Linked DNA regions of Caenorhabditis elegans. The protein of the gene in region 2 purifies or fractionates together with the protein of the main gene of each other region. This does not show direct contact. Each region holds a gene or a part of one and is shown on either strand. Other genes may lie near its edges.

Evidence for each region. Proteins that work in one complex are often made in the same cells at the same time.
Region 1: the proteins of rde-3 (region 2) and mut-7 purify together in Caenorhabditis elegans (affinity purification with western blotting, with the first as the bait; one study listed by BioGRID). This does not show direct contact.

The regions. Positions count from the first base shown.
Region 1 is NC_003281.10:9,538,502-9,544,167, reverse strand, and holds mut-7 (Exonuclease mut-7), read left to right. Parts: upstream 1-1,787; 5' UTR 1,788-1,812; coding exon 1,813-2,002; intron 2,003-2,073; coding exon 2,074-2,890; intron 2,891-2,937; coding exon 2,938-3,075; intron 3,076-3,123; coding exon 3,124-3,318; intron 3,319-3,366; coding exon 3,367-4,068; intron 4,069-4,118; coding exon 4,119-4,504; intron 4,505-4,556; coding exon 4,557-4,683; intron 4,684-4,734; coding exon 4,735-4,912; 3' UTR 4,913-5,137; downstream 5,138-5,666. Other genes in the region: eif-2Balpha (Translation initiation factor eIF2B subunit alpha), read right to left, coding at 1-39, 88-289, 349-530, 594-859, 912-1,026; ZK1098.3 (uncharacterized protein), read left to right, coding at 5,470-5,562. UniProt on the Caenorhabditis elegans protein: Represses the transposition of Tc1, Tc3, Tc4, and Tc5, perhaps by degrading transposon-specific messages.
Region 2 is NC_003279.8:6,356,089-6,360,227, forward strand, and holds rde-3 (PAP-associated domain-containing protein), read right to left. Parts: upstream 2,323-4,139; 5' UTR 2,308-2,322; coding exon 2,131-2,307; intron 2,087-2,130; coding exon 1,848-2,086; intron 1,799-1,847; coding exon 1,580-1,798; intron 1,533-1,579; coding exon 1,440-1,532; intron 1,389-1,439; coding exon 1,303-1,388; intron 1,253-1,302; coding exon 1,054-1,252; intron 983-1,053; coding exon 857-982; intron 811-856; coding exon 624-810; 3' UTR 526-623; downstream 1-525. Other genes in the region: Endoprotease bli-4, read left to right, coding at 52-205, 256-370; K04F10.3 (Vacuolar protein sorting-associated protein 28 homolog), read left to right, coding at 2,587-2,660, 2,704-2,797, 2,842-3,024, 3,072-3,239, 3,334-3,536, 4,004-4,070.

The sequences.
Region 1 (5,666 bases), on a different chromosome or scaffold from region 2:
CAATTCTAGGTTGTTTCTCTCAATTACTGATGTTCGATACTGAAATAATGAAAGATCTGATTGAGTTATTTGATATAAATTGATTACTTTGAATTCTTGGGGAATATCGGCCTGGTTGAGTGGGAACTCCCGTACAAACTTGATAGTTTCAGCGCAAACATAGACGGGAACATGCCGTGATTTTGCGATGATACAAACATTAACAGTTCCAATTTTATTGATGATTCCACCGGTTTCCATGACTCCTTCAGCGCCAACTAGAACTGCTTGAATTCTTTCCATGACATATCTTAAAAAATAAAAAATGTATATACGTTTTTCTTATTGTTTTTTATAATTTCCACTCACCCCACACAGCTATCTAGAACTAAAGTAGTTGGAACTCCATTCTTTTTCAATTCTTCAAACACTAGTTTTCCTGAAGCATCCGGTTGCGATTCGGTGACCCAGACATGAAGGTGATATCCACTTTTGTGAGCATCAAGAATAGTTTCCAGAACCACTTTGCTGTATGAGTGTGTCAGAATATTCTAGAAAATACAAAGATTAAAATACATTAAATAGGAATTATTTAAATAGAAAAAAAAACGTACCATATGATGAGTGAAAAATAGACGAGCGCACTTGGAAATTTTGGCTCGAGAACCTCTGACATTCTTTATAAATGAGCGTGCTCGTTGGCGATACAGATCAAGAACTTGAGAAAAATCTTCTTGATCGAGAAGAGCAGCTGGAGCCAGAGAAGTGAATCTGGTGAACAAATCAGCGGCACTTCGAATTGATGTTGAGCTGTAGTCCGTTTTCTCGAGAGCAGCAACTACTTGATTTAGCTCATTTTGAAATTCGGCAACGGTGGTGGCTGTAATTAAGCAAAAAATTAATTGCCTAAATATTCAAATTCAGGAACTTACCGCGACTCCGGTCTAAAACCTCGAGCAGTGTTTCCACTGTGGCTAGACTCGTTGATTTGCTTGGATCGTTTTCAAGTTTTCCACGGAAAGATGAAATAATGCTTTCTTGAACCATGTTAGATGGAAAAAGTCTGCAAAAACAATAATGGAGAACGTTTGTCGTAGAAAGAAGAAATATTTATAGAAAAAATTTAATGAAAAAATAATGATGTAAACGCGCTCTATCGTTACGCAGAGAAGATAAGAGTTAGAGAGTTAGACAGTTTTGATAGTGGCAAATTTAAAAACAAAACATTTTTTTACTTATGTATTTAAAAGGTTTCGTGAAATTTAATTTATTTTCTCAATCTCGAATAAACATTTTAAACATATTTTTTGAGTCAGTCAGTTTACTTTCTACTCTCAACTATTTACGCATCTAAAATCTCCCATTGTGTGGCGAACTAAATAGGATAATAAATAATAATTTTCCTTTTCGAAACTTTTATACTATAATTAATTCCCTCAATTTGCTCCATAATCTCCATTAATTTTCCTCGTGTAATTGCTTCGTAGATCATTTGAATCGCCGCCGTGATACAGTACTATTCGCTAACCTGCACATCTTAAATACCATCGACAATTTTTTAAAAATTCATTTTCCATTTTGTTCATTGATTTCTTGGTTCTTTTTCCATTATTTTTGCCTCAATTTGTGCAAAAAGTGCTGGATATCGAATAATCCACAACGCTTTTCTGTTGTTCTTTCGGTTTTTGGGCCGTTTCTAGATTTTCCTCTCCGTAATACGAATTCTCGTGGGGAAACACGTTTTCCTTGTTCTTTGATTAATTTCTTTTGTACTAACTTTTCGACAAATATTTATTTATACTTTTTACAGAATCAAGCTTGTCCGTTTCGAAAATGGAAGAAGAACCGTACAAAAGAAAGCTAACGAAAGCCGAGAAAAAGGCAAAATATCGAACAGACTACGCCGAACCGTTGAAGTCACGCCGGGAAGTTCTGAAAGCAATTATGAATGGACCCGAGTCTGAGCGGGAGAGAAAAGTTCGAGCCAAAAATCGAGAATTTTTCAACGAGGACTATAGATCAGGTAAACATTTTAAAGTTCTTTTATTATTAAAAACTTTAAAAAACCCTCATTCATAATCTATACATTTAAAGGAGTCAACATCTACGGAATGGCTGTGGATATGATGAAAGCGATGCCGGATAGAGGAAAAACATCGGGACAAAGTTTGGCGGTTTGGTATCTGGAGGATTTTGGAGTTTGGTTAAAAGAGTCGGGACAGGAGACGGAGCTCAGACAGAAATATCTGACTGGAACTATTCAAATAAACGCCTTAGATGTGTGCACAATTGGACAAAAGCAGCTTCTCAGTGAAATCTTCGATATCACCAAAGAGAAATTCACTGAGGACATTACACAGTTGCTAGATGCTGCCATCAAGAAACAAGACTTCTCCGTTGCTGCAGATATGGCTATTCAGTACAATCTTCTACGGGATCATCATTTCGAACATCTTGTTCTTCCATTAATGCTATCTGGCAAAGATCAAACGGCTTATAAATTGATAAGTAACAATGAGAGGATGCAACAGCAGCTTGTAGAGTTTTTTGATCGAATGGTTGGAATCTCAGTGGTTGCCGTTGAAGAGATGCTGAAACCCTACAAGGAAACCAAAATTATGACGATTCCTATGGAGAAATTGACGGGAAAAACGTTGGACAAACTCATTTCGACGATTATCAACAAAAATACTCACGAATACAACTTCTCCAGGGAATTGTCGAAGTTCGCCAAAAACCACTCACAGAATGGGAATCTGAAGGCATTGAAGTTTAATATCAGTGAACGATACGAGAAGGGAAAATCCGATGACAACTATTTCCAGCATATGGTTGAAACTTTTACCAAAGCCGAAGATGTTCGTGAACCTATTTTGTTTTACTTGTGGAGCTCAAATGACACCGAGAAACAGTAAGTGACATTCAAAAAGATTTTTCTTTCTAAAATTCAATTTTCAGAATAGATGCCATCTGCTTTGCTATCTACTTAGGAATCGCTAGTTCCAGCAGCTATCAACTGCCGAATGTTATGAGGGACTTCTTTCGACAACCTGATTCGAAGCTCAGAGAAGCAAAAGAACTTCTAGTGAGAAGAAAGTAATTGTTTTCGATTTCTTCGACTTTTTTAAAACCATTTTTGTTCAGAACACTGCAAGTTCCTCTAAATGGCGAACAATTATTCGTATTTGAGAATGAGCGAAGAACTCAAATCCACATGGTGAAAACTGAATCTGAGATGAATTACTTATGTTCCGAGATCAAATCACTAAGCGACGAGCCAGCACCTGTTTACGTTGGATTCGATTCTGAGTGGAAACCGTCGAATCTTACAGCTGTTCAGTAAGTGAACAATTTCATTCTTAAAATTCCATATGCACCGATTTTCAGTGACTCGAAAATTGCTATCATACAATTGTTCTTCAAAAATTGTGTATGGCTTGTGGATTGCGTAGAATTAGAAAAGGCAAATATGGCAGATGACTGGTGGCAAAAGTTCGCATCTCGATTGTTCGGAGATTCTCCTGTAAAAGTCGTAGGATTTGATATGAGGAACGATCTGGATGCAATGGCTACAATCCCAGCACTGAAGTCATCCATGAAGATAGAAGATACCAAAAATGCATTCGATCTGAAGCGATTAGCAGAGAATGTTTGCGATATCGACATGGAAATTTTAGAGCTGCCAAAGAAGACTTTCAAATTGGCAGATTTGACACATTATCTACTGGGATTGGAGCTCGACAAAACTGAACAATGCAGTAACTGGCAATGTCGTCCTCTGCGAAAAAAACAAATTGTGTACGCAGCATTGGACGCAGTTGTCGTGGTGGAAACATTCAAGAAAATCTTGTCGATTGTAGAGGAGAAAAACAAGGACGCAGATATCGAGAAGATTGTCAGAGAATCAAATGTAATGGCTCCGAAAAAAGACAAAGGACACAAATCGTACCGCAAGCTGAAAACTATTCCATGGCTTGAGCTCTACGATATCTTGCGAAGCCATCGTAATCCTACGAGATCACCACAGCGACCACACGACATTAAAGTTATTGTTGACACAATGCTGATTGGATTTGGAAAGAATCTGAGGTTTGAAGTTTATCTTTAAAAAATGTTAAAGTTGAAAATTTTTATTTCAGGAGAGTTGGAATTGATGTTATTCTTCCAAAAGACGTGAGCGACTTCCGAAAGTACCTGAAGGAAATTGAACGAGTTGGCGGCGAGCATCTACGTCATATAATCACAGTGCCATCGAAAAGTTACGAAGCCTTGAAAATGGATTATGATAATTATACAATTGCAATTCCGGAACTCAATAACATGTCTCCCGTAGATCAGCTTATTGAGTTTTTCGACCTGTTCAACGTAGATATTCGTCCGGAAGACGTATATCCTCGATGCACTGAATGCAATTCTCGGCTTCAAATTAAATTCCCCGGACCAGTTTTACATTTCTTGCACCAATACTGTGTCATCCATGTGCAAAATGTTTATCGTGCGGATATGAGCGAATTTCCACTGGAAGGTTAGTTTATTTCTCGCTTGCGGTCAACATGGAAATTTATTTTTACTTATAGAATGGTGGAATCGTATGCTTCATATCAATCCAGACGACTACGACGGAGTAAAAGTGGAAATGTCGCGACCATCTCCAACAAGCAAGTGGATCGTGGCAACTGTTCCCACAGGATGCCTACATATTACGTAAGAAATTTATCCTTTAATATTATTAAAACCTAATTTGGCTTTATTTAGGCGACAAACTGCACTTCACACCAATCTGCCAGATGGAATTGAAGTTCGAATCCACAAAGTGCCTGATGACGAGTTCAAGCGTCGAAATCTCAGCTTCTATGTGTGTGGAGAATGCGGTACGGTGGCTTGTGATGGTCGTGGCAATCAAGCGTCGGAGAGCACCAGCCAGGAATGTTGAATTCGAAATCCCGTTCCCCTTCTCGTTTTAAACTTGTACCATTTTTCTTATTTTTTCCTATCCACATTTTGTGTCCTGCATGTAATATCACCTCGTCCCGGTAATAGTTCTAAGTTTATCTAGTTTTATTCTCCCTGTTCAACGGTTTTTAATATTCAATACTTATTCTGTTAATATTTTTGCCTCATCTGGCATTATTCATTTCAAATGAATATTTTGTTGTTTATTTGTTATTTTCCTGAGATGCACCGCTACATCGCGCTACGACGATCGATATATTCTAGGTCGTAAATAGAGTCATAGAAAAGAAAGAAACGCAGGATGAGAGAGAGGTGGAAGAGCGGGAACACATTCAATTGATTCTTCTTTACTTTTGTAAATGAATTTTTCGTGCTTATTTTAAATGTTTAGTTTAATAGTGACTCTTCTTTAAATTCAAAACTTTCTCCAATTTTTGAGAAAAGTGATTAACATGTTCATTTCGCAAGGCTCTACAATTTTAAATTCTTTTTTTTTTCATAAATTTGAATTATTAGATATAAAAATCTTTTTTTAAGATGGGAGATACAACATCATCGGAAGATGTTCCGGAAAATAAGCAAAAATCACTGAAGTTTGAGATTATTGATGCAAGAATGAAGATTTTCAAAGTAGGCTTCTTTTCATTCAATGAGGGACCCTAATTTTTAGTTTTGAACCACAAATACGGTAGCGGGTCTCGAAACAACCGATACTTGGCAGCTACCGTACCGCT
Region 2 (4,139 bases):
AAGGAAGACACTCTCAAAATCTTCCAGGTATTCTCACAATTATTTTTTCAGAGGACTGCTCCAAGCCGGATCCTACACTTTTGATTGATTCTAATAAATCATCTGGATTTGGATTGATGTTCTGGATTGTAGTTAGTTTGATTGCGGCTTGTGGAATCTGTGCCTGTAAAAAGTGTGCAAGTGAGACGAAAAGCTCAAACGTAGAGTAAGCCTTGCTAGTTATCGTCTCCGTAATTCGAATTTTAATATTTTTAGATATGCGCCGCTTGCTCAATATAATGCCACAAATGGTGCTATCAATTTAGGAGCACACACTGACGATGAAGACGATGATGAGGATGAAGTATTTGTGAACCCTCAAATTGTTTAAACCAAACCTTTCAAAATTCATGTTTTTAATTGTAATTTTTCTGCCAACTTCTTTGTGTATGCTTGTGAAATCCGGGTAATTGTTTCTTTTTCAAAATTTTAAAACCTGAAACGTTTTCAAGTGGCCTTTTATCATGTGATTGTATTGTTTCTTTTGTCTTATACCGGGTTTATTTTTATTATACCGTACTGTTTCCATGTTATAAATAGATTGTTGAATTAATTACACAAGACAAAACATCGACATATTAAGACTATACAAATGAGTTCCGACAGTAGACACCTAAGCCGACTCGATTCACTTCTGTGGCTTCAGCTCGGAAGTTTCGAACTTCTGCACGCGATGGTTTAGGCACTTCTGGTGACATATTGATAATATCATCTAGTGTAGGAAACGTGAATTCGGAGCCTTCGACAGGGAGAAACTTCTGATATGTGCTTCTGAAAGTAAGCAATTAATTAAAATCTGTGTTTTCTTCAAGGTTACCTCATAACATCTTTAATTCTATTCAATGTTCTTACAGTTCTTCCCGGGTTGTGCTCATCGAATGGATCTTGAATACACACCTCTTTGTTTGTTGAACTACGAACCATATTGTTTTGTGATGTTCTTCTGAAATTTCAGTTTATTATTTTGAAGAAGATCCAATTGGTTAATTTGTATTCACAGAAAAAAAAATCTACCGATCCATGACCATTACAGGCCTGGCACCAATGTAGTTTTCTTTGAAGTTGAACATCGAGTAGTAATATAGAAATTCGATGAACAATCTTGCCAGTGGAGCATTATTTGGGGCAATTCTAGGAAGAGGCTTGGGAAGTGGTGCACCAAAATTCAAAATTGATGGATAGACTTTGTCATCCCAAGCAATGAAATTATCCTCTGAAATGTTTAATTATGAAAAAAAAACAACAGAGAATATATTCACTCACTTTTAAAGATTTCTTGCAAATTTGGCAGTATTGGTGGAAATGTACCGCATTGGAGGAAGTGAATCACCAGTAGAACAAGTGCATAACTGAAATTTCAGAATTTTAGATAAATTCAAATAAAGTGATTAATATTTAACCTGTTGAATCCTCCATCTTTTGGATCTTTAACTTTTGTACTGGCTGCCCATTGTTTTACGATTGCACATAATGGTGCAAATCGGCCGTCGATACTTCAAAATTAATTGGAAATAGAATGTCTAACAACAAGAAAACTAACTGTGCCAAATGTCGAATCAAAAAAGAATTGTGCATCGATGACAGAAATCGATCCATAACTACACTGATATCACAATCGATTCCGTCTACCGTCATCACTTTCAAAATTTGAATTTGAGCTTGAACGAGCTGGATTCCATGTTCCCAATTAATTCTTGAATTGATCTGTTCATCATTTTGTAAGTTAAGACGGACAATTTGTAGGATTTCCAATTGAATTCTGTAATTTATGTCATTTAAATAATTAATTAATCCCGAGAAAGCCTAACTCTCTCCATGATGCTTGTCGTTCGTCATCTGTGATATTTCTTCCACGTTCTTCTTGTTCCAGAACTCTTGCCGCTTGTGGGATATGAATTGCAACGTCTAGATCACTGTTTTTAGTGGCCAATCCGGTTACTGTACTTCCAGTTGGCACGATATTGAATAGCCACGTTGGATTGTTCTTCGAAATTATATTCTTCAGCTGATAGCACCAATCCATTTTTTTACCGAACTCCTCTTTTGGCTGAAAATAAGGAACTCTTAATTTTTCATTTAATTCAAAGCAACCTGTTTCGTAGTATCGAAATGATCCTGCATACTGATAGACAATATATTGAAATCGTCCTCGTGATCCCTTAAAACGCGTTGAAACTTTCCGTTAAATTTGTGAAACGCTTTTGGATTCGCTTTGACCTTAAAGTCTATGTCTTCTGGACTTCGCTGATCTTTATTTGGTTGAGACATTGTTGTTACTACAAAAAATATTCAATTATTATTCTCATTGGAGGTGAAATAAAGCGCGACAATATAATTCTTTTAAAAAACTGGAAGGAAATGCACAAATGTGCTTGCTGTATAAAAATGAACATTAACATTCCAAGAAACGAATAAACAATTTTATGAATTTCCCGGACTCGCACCGATACCGCGCAAAGGAGTTGTGTTAGCGCACTCTCCGTGCACTATGCACATTCTTCGTTTCTCCAACGATTTTTTTTTGTAATTTAATCAAAAAAGCGAAGCATGTCCGATGATGAAAGTATTTTTGTTCCCGATGAAAATTCAGCACAAGTTTCTGCAGAAACGACTGTAAAATGGTAAGTCAATCTGTTCATAATAATGTTTTTATCGCTTCAAAAGTTACAGGACTGATAGCGCCAGTTCGCAGAAGGTTATCAACAATTTGGAGAAATTCGTGCTTAATCAAAGTCTTGACAAGAGTTATAAAAAGATTGTAAGTGAAATGTATTAGTGTTTCAATAACTAATCTTCTTGCAGGCAAGTGACGGCATCGCCAGCAGTAAAAGAACCCTCGAATCGCTTTTAGCTCGGAATGGTGGACATCAAAACCTTCTTAATGAAGAAGTTAACAAACTAAACAATAAAAACTACACTTTGGATGCGGATGGACGAGTTTGTTTGGTTAAAAATTCTTCAAACGACACGAGCCGCCACCAAGAGGTTTTTGTACCAATGTTTTTGAAAACCCTAAAAACGAGTTCATTCAGTTGATTCTTCTACAAAAAGACACCCATGAGCTTCGATGCCTTCGCGAATATTTGATGTTAGCTCTTGAAGCAATTATGCACAATCATCGGCAGATGATGGTCAAACATGTTCAGAACGTCAGAGAAAGGCCAAGACAAGTTTCTCAAGCAGCTATAGATAACGCAATAGTGAGTTATTTTATAAACTCAAAATTTAAAAACGTTTGAGGTCTCAAGCGCTTTTGGGCTTTTTATTGAGGCTTTTTATTCATTTTTGTTTCAGGAAAAAGCCAACACACGCATTATTGACGAATTTGCTCAGATGACACTCTTCGTCGATCAGTCCATTGCTCGCGAAGAAATTCGGTCGGAAAACAGACGAAAATTAAAGAAAACCATTGAAATTGAGACTTTTTTGATGAGAATGATGCTCGAAATGGAAGATATTCGGGAAGCAAATGTGAAAGATTTGGTGTCATTATGGCGGTAAATTATTATAAATTTTTAATTCAAATTATTTTCAAATTTAACGCTTCAAAGTAATTCTTACTTATTTATCACATATTTTTGTCGTTCACGACAATTTTTCATTGATTGCGATTTTTGGTCGATAGATGAAATTTTTGCATAATCGACGGAAATGTACCAAAAAACTCATAATAAATGGAAAAATATGCAAATAGTATGAAAAAATTTTGTAAGATTTTTTTGTTGAAATTTTAACAATTTTAGCCATTTTTTGACTCTAGTTACTAGTTTTTTGTCCAGTGTATTTTTTGTTAAATTTTTTAAAAAACAATTTTTTTAAGTTCATAAGTTTCCAGTAATTTTTTTTTCGAAAATTTACAAATGGTACATTTTTTTCGAAATCGTCGTAATAAAATATGATCGAATATTTTTTCCAAAAAATTTGCTACCTCATGATTTGTCTTTAAAATTCTTTTTGTTTTCAGGAGTCATCAACGTTCTGCAAAAACTCAACCAACGAATAACAACGCTGCTGGTGATTCTACAAACTAACTTTTGAATTCTTCACAATCGAAAAATAGAAAATCCACTGTCATATCAAAATTCCTTAACTAGAATCTC